Caenorhabditis elegans: one gene and its partners. The protein of the gene in region 1 interacts with the protein of each later gene in a pairwise test. Each region holds a gene or a part of one and is shown on either strand. Other genes may lie near its edges. The genes, in order: ubl-5, hsp-17 and npp-9.

What was found.
Region 2: the proteins of ubl-5 (region 1) and hsp-17 interact in a two-hybrid assay, tested with the Caenorhabditis elegans proteins (one large-scale study listed by BioGRID).
Region 3: the proteins of ubl-5 (region 1) and npp-9 interact in a two-hybrid assay, tested with the Caenorhabditis elegans proteins (one large-scale study listed by BioGRID).

The regions. Positions count from the first base shown.
Region 1 is NC_003279.8:5,607,321-5,610,443, reverse strand, and holds ubl-5 (Ubiquitin-like protein 5), read left to right. Parts: upstream 1-1,602; 5' UTR 1,603-1,607; coding exon 1,608-1,720; intron 1,721-2,409; coding exon 2,410-2,518; 3' UTR 2,519-2,618; downstream 2,619-3,123. Other genes in the region: vha-10 (putative V-type proton ATPase subunit G), read left to right, coding at 190-336, 385-519, 758-856; tns-1 (Tensin homolog), read left to right, coding at 2,927-2,959.
Region 2 is NC_003283.11:8,384,286-8,387,806, reverse strand, and holds hsp-17 (SHSP domain-containing protein), read left to right. Parts: upstream 1-1,879; 5' UTR 1,880-1,892; coding exon 1,893-1,939; intron 1,940-2,249; coding exon 2,250-2,487; intron 2,488-2,748; coding exon 2,749-2,913; 3' UTR 2,914-2,999; downstream 3,000-3,521. Other genes in the region: gcy-7 (Guanylate cyclase), read right to left, coding at 1-54, 165-355, 404-451; F52E1.14 (ZP domain-containing protein), read right to left, coding at 3,000-3,194, 3,241-3,380.
Region 3 is NC_003281.10:3,400,134-3,405,865, forward strand, and holds npp-9 (Nuclear Pore complex Protein), read right to left. Parts: upstream 4,144-5,732; 5' UTR 4,131-4,143; coding exon 4,113-4,130; intron 4,064-4,112; coding exon 3,971-4,063; intron 3,926-3,970; coding exon 3,500-3,925; intron 3,447-3,499; coding exon 2,949-3,446; intron 2,845-2,948; coding exon 2,384-2,844; intron 2,335-2,383; coding exon 1,437-2,334; intron 1,177-1,436; coding exon 1,033-1,176; intron 975-1,032; coding exon 858-974; 3' UTR 511-857; downstream 1-510. Other genes in the region: Protein clpf-1, read left to right, coding at 7-273, 335-445; F59A2.5 (L antigen family member 3), read left to right, coding at 4,746-4,828, 4,940-5,068, 5,117-5,276; golg-4 (GRIP domain-containing protein), read left to right, coding at 5,443-5,556, 5,601-5,702.

The DNA of each region.
Region 1 (3,123 bases):
ATTTTAGTTTCAGTTCTATTCGTATTTATTCATTTTTCTTATAATTTTATGCATAAATTCTCAAAATTTATTGATTTTTCTTGTCTTGTGCTGACTCGGTTCTTTTCCAATTATTATATGTACATCTTAAGAATAATCACGAAATCCTGTGAAAATAATTAAATCATTTTCAGTACCGAAAACCTTAAAATGGCCTCACAAACCCAGGGAATTCAGCAACTTTTGGCCGCTGAGAAACGTGCCGCTGAGAAGATCAACGAAGCTCGTAAGAGAAAGTTGCAGAGAACGAAGCAGGCCAAGCAAGAGGCTCAAGCTGAGGTGGAGAAGTACAAGCAGGTAATAAATATTGATTTTAATTTAAATTTTAAAAAACTAATTATTCAGCAACGCGAGGCAGAGTTCAAGGCATTTGAACAACAATACTTGGGAACCAAAGAAGATATTGAGAGCAAGATTCGTCGTGATACTGAGGATCAAATCAGTGGAATGAAGCAATCTGTGGCTGGAAACAAGCAAGCTGTGAGTTTGAACAAATTTCCACACAACTTTGGGAAATCTTTTGCACTTTGCAAAATATTTACTGGAGAACTTTCAAAAAAAATTTCTCGAATTTAAATAAAATGTTCTAAAATAATTTTATTGAATTTCTATATTTGTCACCAAATTAAAATATAGTTATTGTAAAACGGCACATACACATTTTTGGCTCACACTCTCGAAAGTTGCATAATATCTCAATAAAATCCGTTAATTTCAGGTCATTGTCCGTCTCCTTCAACTCGTTTGCGACATCAAGCCAGAGCTCCATCATAACTTGACTCTCCAGAAGAAACTTCACGGACAGTTCGCTGCCTAAACTTTTCGTTTTCTTTAATCTCTGACAATTCTGATCATTCCAACTTTCGCTAAGTCCCGCCCCTTACTTTTATGATGTGATATCCCTCTCCCATCAATTTCTAACCAATTCTGTAGAATTCTCCATTTTCAATTAAAAAATTATAGTCGTCACTTTTTTTTCTGTGACGACGTATTGTATACTATTTACAAAGAAAAAGCTTATACGTCAAAGTATTTCGTCGAATAAAGGTTTTATAGAGCTGATTATAAACTGGAAATTATTCTTTCTCTACGAATTAATCAATAAACGTATTCAGAAGAGGTTTTTCGCAAGTGTGAAACGCTATGTTCAAAAACTGCAGATTTTACCATACTTGCGCTTTTTTATAATTCCGAGATTAATTTTTGGAAAAAATAGCAAAATTTAAGCAGTTTATGTTTAAAAAAGTTCGTTTTTAAATACGCTCAAATAAAAAAAGTAAGTTTTAATTTTAAGTTTCAAAGGGTTGAGTCTCGCCGCGAGAATTGAGTTCTTGAAAAATAATTGGTGCATGCGCCTTTAAGTTTACTGATTACATTGCAAGTCTGCATTTGCGCGTCGAGTTGTGTGTTTTTACGTACATTCGAAATAGTTATATTTATTTATTGCGCAATTGCATTAATGTTTTTCTATACCGAATTTTCATTGCTTTCTTGCAAAATACATGTATTTTCTTAAGAAATTTGTGAATATTTTAAATTATACATAATTGTTTGACCTTTCAGGAAAAATGATTGAAATCACAGTAAACGATCGACTCGGAAAAAAAGTACGAATCAAGTGCAATCCATCAGATACAATTGGAGATTTGAAGAAGTTGATCGCTGCACAAACTGGAACACGGTGAGATTTGAAAATTACCTTTTTGAATTTGATAATCTTTTTGAAATTGACTGATGATCCCACAATCTTTTTTTCTGAATTCTTAAACTTGAAAATCAATTATATTGAAAAAAAAAGAATTTAGCTTTTTTATAGACTTTAGAAGTTAGAAGTTAAAACGTTTGAAAGGAAAAAAAGAACTTAAAAACTAAAAAAAATCAAAAATGGCACAAAAAGTCGTTATTAAAATGATCTCGAGCTAGGAAATCGCGTTTTAAAATACAATTTTTCTGTGTTTTGCCATCTCATGCGGCTATTCGCATATGTTATTTTCGTATGTTTTATATATTAGAAACAAATTGAAAATTTGAAAAACGGCAATTTGCCGATTTGCCCAAAGTTTTCCAAGATATTTTACATGAGAAAAAACATTAATAACATTTTCATAGATTTTACTTGCATGTCAAAATAGTTCTAGGACATTAAAATAGTGCATTTAATTTTGCAGAATTTATAATAAAAATTTAAAAATTTACAACAATTGCAAAACGAAAAATTTCCGACTTTGCAAAAAAAAACTTGCCTCCCAGCCCTGTGTTTTATTAAATAATTGATTTTTTTGTAATTTGATCATAAATTTCGACCGCCATTCTTGGTGATGAAATATACATTTTTTATTGTTTAATAAAAAAAAATCAATTAAATTTCAGATGGGAAAAGATCGTGTTGAAAAAGTGGTACACCATTTACAAGGATCATATCACATTGATGGATTACGAGATTCACGAGGGATTCAATTTCGAGCTCTACTACCAATGATTCATCAGAATTCATTTCATTTTTTAAACAATTATTTACTTTTCAACTTTTCATGAATTTCAATTTAATTTTTTTTGACTTCGAATAAATTTCAACACTTTCTTGATTTAAATGCACTTTTAAAAACATCTTATATTCATTCTTCCACCCCATTAATTTCTGCCGTCTTGTTTGACCACTCCCTCTTTCTTCGCTCCCACCCGAGTAGGCTCCGCCCATTTGTTCGACCCAAAAGATTTTGTCCGATTTTTTCTCTTTTTCTCTCTAATTCTCTTCGCCTATCAATGTGTTTGCGCGAAACAGTTTAGTGTGGATAGAGAAAAATCAGTGGATAGTTAATTTTTGCAGATGTTTTTTTTTTGAATTTTCAAAAATATTACTTCTAAAAGACATTTCAGACCAAGGGCAATGGCTGCTGCAGCTCTGTGCTGTGCTTCAAGGGTACGTTTTTAAATTGAAAAGTTTGAATCCCGAAAGCTTAAAATGAAATATTTATAGAATACAAAAATAAAACAACTTTTGAAAATTAATAAAAAAATATCTCAAAAGTTAAAAAAAAAGTTTCTCTAAATAGAAATATTCAAACATATGGTATCAATAAGCAG
Region 2 (3,521 bases), on another chromosome or scaffold:
ACAGTCATTCCAGCGGCTTCAGATTCTACGCAATCGTCAAATTCAATAGTAAAACTGAAATTATTTTCAAAATTTACAAGATGATATGAACTATTAAAACTCTTCAATCCGGCCTGTCTATTTTTTTTTACAAAACAGTATGGCATTAGAAATAATCTACTTACTTGAATTCCCAACCACTCATTAGATTCTCCCTTTTCAATCTATCAACTGCAATTGAAGCTGCTGCTGCAGATGTACGATATCCAACAGTGATAGGTGCACTTTGAAAGTCTCTACAGTGAATAAATCCCACTCGAATCACATTTCCAGTGGTACCTGTTGCAACTTGGGGAAACATAGGTTTAGGTAACAACTGAAAAAAAATCATTTTTATTTTGTGGAATTCGCTTTCAAAACCTACCGTAATCACTAAAAACAAAACTAGAGACATTGAATAGAAGGGCTTCATGATTATTTTCTTATGCTAAACTGGCAGACAGCAGATCTTTTTATATCTGCACAAGGGGCGGTGGGATTTATAGAAACTTAAGTTTACTACGCCTGCCGCCTAATCCGTGAAACCTTATTTTTATATTTTTCCGCCTCCCGAAACAGTTGATACGTGAAAAAGCACGGAAGAGAAAAAAGCTTCTTTTGGACTTGATTAATCTGTTGGTCATGAGAAAGCGTGACACAAGGTAGGTTACGGTAGCAATTGCGTAATTAATCGGATCAGTCTATGCGCATTTCTGAAACATTGGGGATTTCAAATCTAGTTTATCAAACAGATACAAATCACATTGACATCTCGTGGAAACAGTCTGTAAAGTACCGCAAATTTTACAATTTTTGATATTATTGTCGTTAAACAAGTTCCATTTCAAATTTTTTATTGAATACGGTAAAAAAACAAGAGAGGCAGCTGGTTGAAGTGAGTCACTCTTGTTGAGTTTTCGTTACTGGAAACCTGAATGAAGATAGTTTTTAACTTTAGCATTACGCCTCATTATTTTCCTATTTCCTTTTTACTATTTTACTTGTATTTTTAAACTTTGTTTAGCACATTGAGCACATAAAACCAAATGTTATAAATATCCTTATCATCAACCCATCGGTTTCTTTTTAACTTTTTTCTTTCTCGAATTTCAATGACCCGGAAAACCACCACATCATATGAAAATCGAATCTAAAAATTTGCAGATACGCATCTGTCCTGCTGCGCTCTTTTTTTATTTTTGAATGTTTTTTTTTCTGCAAACGTTGGGAACAGTCATCCAATCCTTCAACCGTTCGTCTCGTTTTGAATGACAAACGTTCTCTTTCCGTCCTCTGTTTGAGTATATTTACATTGCTAATTCAAAAAAAAATAGTATAGAATATAATGATACTTAGAGATAGTTCTGGCATAAAGTTTAAACTTGAATGAAATCATCAATGCCATTAATAACTGTGTCACTGCATTAGTTTATCAGCAAGTGTGCCAGCAAAAAAAACGTTTCGAGACGATTCGATACATTCCTGAAAAACTTCGATAAAAGGGAAGTATCCAAACAACCACACCCAACTTTCATCATTGACTCGCTGTTTTGCTTTTTATTTTTGTTAATCTTCCTTACAATTAGTTTTAAAGTTTAAAACAAATATTACATGTTAGAAAGAACTGTATTTTGGTCAGTTTGTTCGAATAATTTCGAAATCTAAAACCTTTTCTTTTTGATGATTCGTCGGAGTAGATGTTTCTCGAAGGAGGTAAAAAAAACCGTGGGCGATTCTTGTTTGCATTGAGGATAATAGAGCAGTAGTAGAAAAGCAGGGAGTGTCAACTCAGTTTTGTCTTCTTCTTCCCCTATTTCTGTCTTACTTTCGTTTTGTTTCTTTGAAATAATTAGATTTTCAGAAACTATTATAAAATGGATCGTCGTTTTCCACCATTCTCCCCATTCTTTAACCATGGCCGGTAAGTTTCTAAATTCTCGTGTTTTCGGAAACTTCTATAGTTGAAGTAACATAACTTTCTGTAAATTTTCTTCTTTAATAAGTGACGTCACTCAAATTGTACTCTGCGCCGCTAGTTCTTAAAATACACAAGAATTTAATTTGGCGCGATTTCTAAAAATAAGCTAGCGAGAGGACTTTGTACTCCAGTTTAGCAAATAATGCTCTGAAAAATCATAAAGACTGGAGATTTTGACATATTTTTCTGCAATTAGAAAATTAGAAAATTAACTTTAAAAATTTTACAAAACTCCTACAAACAAGTTTTCTAGCAGATTCTTCGATGACGTCGACTTTGATCGCCACATGATCCGACCATACTGGGCCGATCAAACAATGCTCACTGGACACCGAGTAGGAGATGCTATTGATGTTGTGAACAACGATCAAGAATACAATGTATCTGTAGATGTTTCACAGTTTGAACCAGAAGAGTTGAAAGTGAACATTGTTGATAATCAGCTAATCATCGAAGGAAAGCATAACGAGAAGACTGATAAATATGGACAGGTGAGGGTTTCCCTCCTTCTTGAAAAACTCAAGTTTTGTATGAAGCTAGTGCAACTTGAAAATGTTTTCATGCATCCTTAGATTAGCTCTCAAGATCCTGAAACCTTACTCGGAAAAGGGCAAAAAGTTATCCAAAATAAAGGCCAAGAGTTCTAGATTATCCTTCCGCCTGTTACGCAATACAAGGAAGCCAAGCAACTCATTTCCGAGCTTATAACGAAGTTGTACTAAAGTCTAAAACCTCGTTGTGCATACTTTCAGGTAGAGCGTCACTTTGTCCGGAAGTATAACCTTCCAACAGGGGTCCGTCCAGAACAAATCAAGTCCGAATTGAGCAACAATGGAGTGCTCACTGTCAAATATGAGAAGAATCAGGAACAGCAGCCAAAATCCATTCCAATCACAATTGTGCCAAAGAGAAACTGATTTCAGTTACCTAAGTGTCTGTATTTTAACTATTTCAAAAATATTTATTCAATTCCATTATTGAAGTGACAATATAAACATTTTGTTTAGACTCCAACAATCTTTTGAACCGTAATGAATAGAGCATATGGGAACATGGATGGCCTCTTCACTTTCACATAAACTGAGCAGAAGTTGAAATCATCATAATAATCATAATCGATTCGAACTCCTTGTGAGTTTAAATCAACTTGCATTGAAGCGATTGAAGTATCGTTTGGTGATCCAATCGTTGAGAAAACCTTGAATTTAATCATGAAATCTTTTCAAATAGTGACGAAATTATACCTGTTGTGCTAGAGCAAGTGGAAGACTTCCATTGATAACTGCAGATGATACAATGACGTTTTCGAGTGTTTTATCTTGACAATGAGATTGACACCATTGAACTTGGGATACATCTTTTCCGCAATTGGAAAGTGAAGCGTCTGGAAATTTCTTAAAATCGATAGGAAATCTTTTAAAATTAGTTTAGAATACTGATGCAACACATTAAACATGATAAGATTCATTCTTTCCTGTTAGCAGATTAATTTATAATTGATGAGCTTTCTCTATCAATGACGTTT
Region 3 (5,732 bases), on another chromosome or scaffold:
TTGCAGTATTTCTACGGAACCCGTGCCAACAATCTCTACCCATTCACATTTGACGTCAGCTTCGATGACGTCACTCTTTGTAAAATCGGAGCCGAGCAACTGCCCGATTCATGTCTACCATTCGGAATGGAAGTTGAAAATCATGAGACAAAGCTGGTTATCATGGAGCCCAGTGCCGACATTAAACATCATTTGTTCGCGTTCTCGCGGAGCACGAAAGCCGACGAAAATGTGCTGAAATCGCCGGTTTTTGGATTTTGTCTTGTCACGGAGGTTGGTATTTCGTCGAGTTTTTGGGTCTCGAACGGAAATTTCAATTTTATCCAAATTTCAGGTTGATTTGGAGAAGCGAACAATGTCAATTCTCTGCCCACAGCGTACAATTCCATCGAAAGTTCTCGTCTTCTCAGATATCACCCATCTTGATGATCAAATAAAACGATAATTTATTTCTTTTTTTTCCTAATCCCTATTTATTTGTTTCCCGCCCTCAAAATAAATCTCATTCTTCAATGCATTCACAATTTATTGGATTGTCACCAGTGGGGAAAAATCGATGCCGGGACAATGTGAACAATATAGTTAAGTTTTAAAGACAAAAATTATGAATGATAGTGTGTGGGGGGTACTTATGAGAACAATGGGATTTTGAGAGAGATGGGGGGGAAATAAGGAAATTATTTTTTTAAAAACCTTACCAGACAAATATAAACTACACTTAAAGGACTATAGATGACAGCAGATGGGGATGAATAAAACTAGGTTCATAAATAAAATTGGTGGTGGGGAATACTAACACAGAGTGCTGGGTGGGGAGGAATAACAATAATAAAATAATTTAAATAATCAGCAGAGGATTACATCTTCGATTGAGCATCCTGAACAGCCGTCTTGAATGCTCCGGCGGTCGCCTCGTCCTTGAATTTGGCGGTGAAGATGGCTGGATCAGCGTTGGAGGCGTCTTCTGAGAAGTCCTGAAAAATAAGGAATTTATAGTACATTTTTATATAAAAAGAAATTAAAAATTGCTACCTGGCACATAAATGTGAGCACATTTGGCAAGTTTGGCTTCGGACTGAGCTTCATCGACTTTTCGATACGGAAATTGGCACAGAGCTTATGGACTTGCTCACGACGCATCACGATTCGATATTTGTTGTCATTGCTTTTCAGGAGCTGAAATAATAAATTATTTTTCTCAAATTTAGCCTCTATGAGTCAAAAATCAGTTGTTTTCTTAATAGTTTTCATTAAAATTTAGTGAAAAAACATAGAAAATACTTGCAAAACAGTTGAAAAGTGCGCAAAACTAGCACTTTTCTTAACTGTTTCAACTGAAATAAGTTATTTTCTACGTTTTATCACTAAATTTTAATGAAAACTATCAAAAGAACATGCCAAGCTGGCTCATTTTGATATAAAATCCTAAATCTGACCTTAATATCTCCGAGTCCACGTTCCTTATTCTCCTTGAGATCCGAATAGTACTTATAAAGCTTGCATCTGGCGGAGAACATGACCTCCTCGTCCTCTTCACCAGTTTTCACCTCAACCAAATCCGGAAGAGGAATAACTGGCTTAAACTCGACTTCTGGCTCATACTCCCCATCTCCATCCTCATTCGTCTCATCACCATCGTGTGAAGTTGCAGAAGTCGTGTTCAACGTGGTGTTCTTGCTCCCGAAAATGCTTGCCTTCTTCTGAGCAGCAAGTTCTTCTTGGGCCTTCTTGACATTTGCTGCGTCGAAAATGGAGCCAGATTTGGCAGAGTTGGCTGAAAGGGCAGCGAATGTTGCACCTCCAGACGTGAATCCACTACCGAACACGGATTTTGGCGTCTCGGACTGTTTATTTTCTTCTTGTTTAGCTGGTGCAGTCGTTGATGGAGTCTGTTGCTTTCCGAATGAGAAAGTTGGCTTTGGGAAGGCACTTTCAGAATTCTTGGCGAACATAAACGACGGAGTAGTAGTTGAAGAAGCTGTAGATTCAGTCTTGGAGAGTCCACCTCCGAACAATGAATTTCCTGGAGTCGTAGAGGTTGCCGGAGAAGCAGTTGAAGCTGCAGGATTGTTGAAATTGAACGATGGGGTAGTTGCATTGACAGCGGCAGCTGGCTTGTTGAATGAGAAAGTTGGAGTATTAGCAGCACCTCCACCGAAAACGCTTGTTCCCTTTGGTGTTCCACCACCGAAAATGCTACTGCTAGTGCTTGGAGATCCGCTGAGTGATCCACCGAACTGAGATGTTTGAGCAAGAGGTTCCTTGGCTGGAGCAGATGCTCCGAATCCGAATGTCACTTTTGGAGTTCCTGGGGCAGGCTGGAGGATCGAAGGTCTGCAAATTTAAATTTTTAATTTTAAGATAACTCAAATAGAATATTTACTTAGAGAATATATTTTTCTCTTTGACAGATCCGTCTTTCGATGTCCCACAACAGGCACATTCAATCTCGTCAGCTTTGCAAGTAACATAGCATCCAGGGCATTCCCAAGATCCTGGTTTTGGCTTGAACTGATCTCCAAATCCAGTCTCTTCCGGTTTGTTGTTTGATGGAATCACAACTTCTTGCTTGACTTCCTTCTTCACCTCAGCCGCCGGCTTGATTTCCTTGTCGATGGTCTTTCCAGCGTTGCTCGATGATTTTGCCTCAGCGACAGCCTTCTCGAACAAAGTCTTAAACTCTCCAGCGATATCGACGTTAGCGAAACGAGCGGAAAGCTTCACGTGAGCTGGCTGATCTTCGGAAAAGTCCTCGCAGAACCATGTGTAGGCCTTCTCGTTGGATTTCATTTGTTGAATGGTCATCGAGCCGAGAATTGGGAAATTGGCACAGACTTTGAGAACCTGTAATTTATTTTAATGCTAAATTAAGGTATTTAAATTTAAATTAAGATCTTTCTGTTGAGGAAAACGCCGAAAAATGTGAAAAAAGCTGTAATTGGAATAACCTGAATATTCCAACACAATTCTTCGGTTCCATTCTCAATATTTGAAGGGAGTGTCTCCTCCGAAATGGTCACCTGGTCTCGTCGCATAACAACTCTCCACGACTTCTTGTCCTTGTTGTAGAGAACCTTCAGCTCGCCGGTTCCTCGCTCCTTCCATTCCTTCGTCTCGTTGGCATAAATGTAGAGTTTTGAACGATTGCAGAACATGGTTTGCTCTCCTTCTTCTCCAGTTTTCACCTCGACAAGATCTGGCAGTGGAATGACTGGCTTGAACTCGCCCTCTGGCTCGTAATCCTCATCATGTTCTTCGTCTTCATCATCTTTAGCTGCTGGAACCACGACTGGGGAAGCAGTTTCAGGCTTTTTACCGAAGATTGAAGTAGCTGGATTGGTCCCGCCGAATGAGAATCCGGTGGTGGCTGGCTTTGGAACAACTGCAGGCGTTGGAGTAGAGAATGTTGGCTTAGCAGGTGGAATTACAACTTCTGGTGGAGATGTCTGAAAAATATTGAATTTTTAATTGCTGGAACTAAAACCCGAAAATTTGTTACCTTTGGTGCAATAACTCCAGAAGCTGGAACTGTCGATTTTGCTTGTGCTGTAGTGGCGACCAGTGGCTGTGTAACGGGAATAGCTGGCTTCGCAGCATTGAGCAAATTAGCCATAACTTGGCTTTGGGCCTGTGCTTGGGCTTGAGCTTGAGCGTGAGCATGAGCTTGAGCTTGTGCTGCCTGCACATGAGCCATCTCCATTTGTCGCTGAAGAATCAACATTTGCTGTTGTTGCTGAAGCTGCTGTGGAGGAATCATTGAGCCGAGAGGATTCGCATCACGAGCAAGAAGAGTGTGTATAATTTGATGAAGTCTCTCGAGCTCTTTTCCGTGATTAGTGCTCAAATCGGACAACTGCTTCTGAAACCGATCCTCGGATCGACGAATATCATCGCGAAGCTGGGTGACGCCGGTCTGGTGCTCAATCTGTGAAAAATAAGTATTAAATTGAGTTTTTCATGAATCGCATACCTTCAACGAGTCCATGCTTTTGATAAGCGAGTCAAACTGCATTGTCATCAACTGCTGCACATCCACGACGCTGGCGACAATGCGCCCCATATTCTGAAATACCGTGAATCATGTTGAGCAACATTCGAAAAGATTCACTTACCGGCTTCTGATCGCTCATTGCGAAAGGAGAGCTGAAATATGAAAAATATCAGGTAAACAATTCAAGAGACTTCAAGCTAAAGCGAGATAAAAAGACGAATACTGCGGTCTCTTTAGTTGAAAATTAGCAGCAATACTTCAAAGAATTCGCGCCAGGGATTTGAATTTCGAAATTTCGCGCCAACGCTTTCCCTGCTTAAAATAGGGCTTTCCTACCTTTAAAACTAGTCTTTTCTGTATAAAATATGCTTTTAAACGCACAAAAAATGTTTTCCAGCTATTTTTCGTAAAAATACGGAAAAACTATGGCGAAACAGTCTAAAATAAATAGAAATTGGGCGCCAAGCTTCGCAAATTTCGAAAAAAGTTCAAATTCCTGCGCCGTGGCGAGACCCGTTGCGTAAATCGACACGCGCGCCTTTAACCATGAGTTGGCAATTATTCATGGAAAATACCGGTTTTTCAGGCGAAAAACAGGATTTTTGATATTTTCCGTCGTTTTTTATGGCTTTTTCGGTTTTTGAAATGTCAATTTTGCCTGGAATAGCATTTATTATTCACTTTTCTCAGCGAATTTATTGATTTTTCATCAGAAACTTTCAAAATTGTGTTTTTTAGTGATTACAACAACAAAATGGAAGTAGACACAAGCTCATCGTCATCTTCAGAGGACGAATGTGACCCAAGCTCTCCGAGCACGGCATATATCCACTCAGCGTGAGTTTTTCGCTAAAAAACACAAAAAACAAACTGTTTTTTAAATGTTTTTGTTTCAAAATTAACATTTTCTGAAGTTCTAACAGCAGTTTCTAATCCGATTAATTCCAGAAGCGTACGATTATCCGTCGGAACAGAAGAAGCGGCTCGAACCGTGGCAGATGTCATAAAAATCGATAAAGAGCCGAGAAGAAGTGGTGCTCGACGGGAAGTGTGCAGCGAAGGCGAATTTGTAGTCATGTAATAGTTTTTCTATTCGAATAACTAAATAAATAAGTTAATTTTCAGAAAAATCGAATCAAAAGATCCGAAATCATTGTCAAAATCCATTGCCAACGCTGTTGATATGATCGATTTGTCCGTGAAAACTATCAAACTTTGTGAAAATCTGGGAAAATCGAAGGAAAACGGATTGAAAAGAAAACTCTCAAACGGATCTCAGGCTTAATTTGATTAAAATTTGTTATTTTTTCTGTTTTTGTTTTTTGAAATGAATTTTTTTCAACTTTTCATGATTTTTTCTTCTTAAAAATATGGTTTTTAACCTTTAAAATACTTTTTTTTTCGATTTTATTGCAAATTCCCCACTAAAAAATCGATTTTTTCAGGTTTAAATGTTCAAAAACCTGAAAAACCGGCTGGATAATGAAGCCGGAAAGCTTAAACAATCAGCTCAGCAGTATGGAGAACAACTCGCCGCTCAAGTTGGACAATATCGGCAGGCGATGGTAAAAATCCACTGAAAACTGAGAAAAAATCGATAAAATTGCAGAATGAGCAGCCTGCTGGCAGTGATGCATCCGCGTCGATTTCTAAAAGATTCACCGGAGAATCAGGAGAAACTAAAGCTGAAAATCCAGCAAATACCTCTATTGTGAGAGTTTTAACATGAAAAATTCTCGAA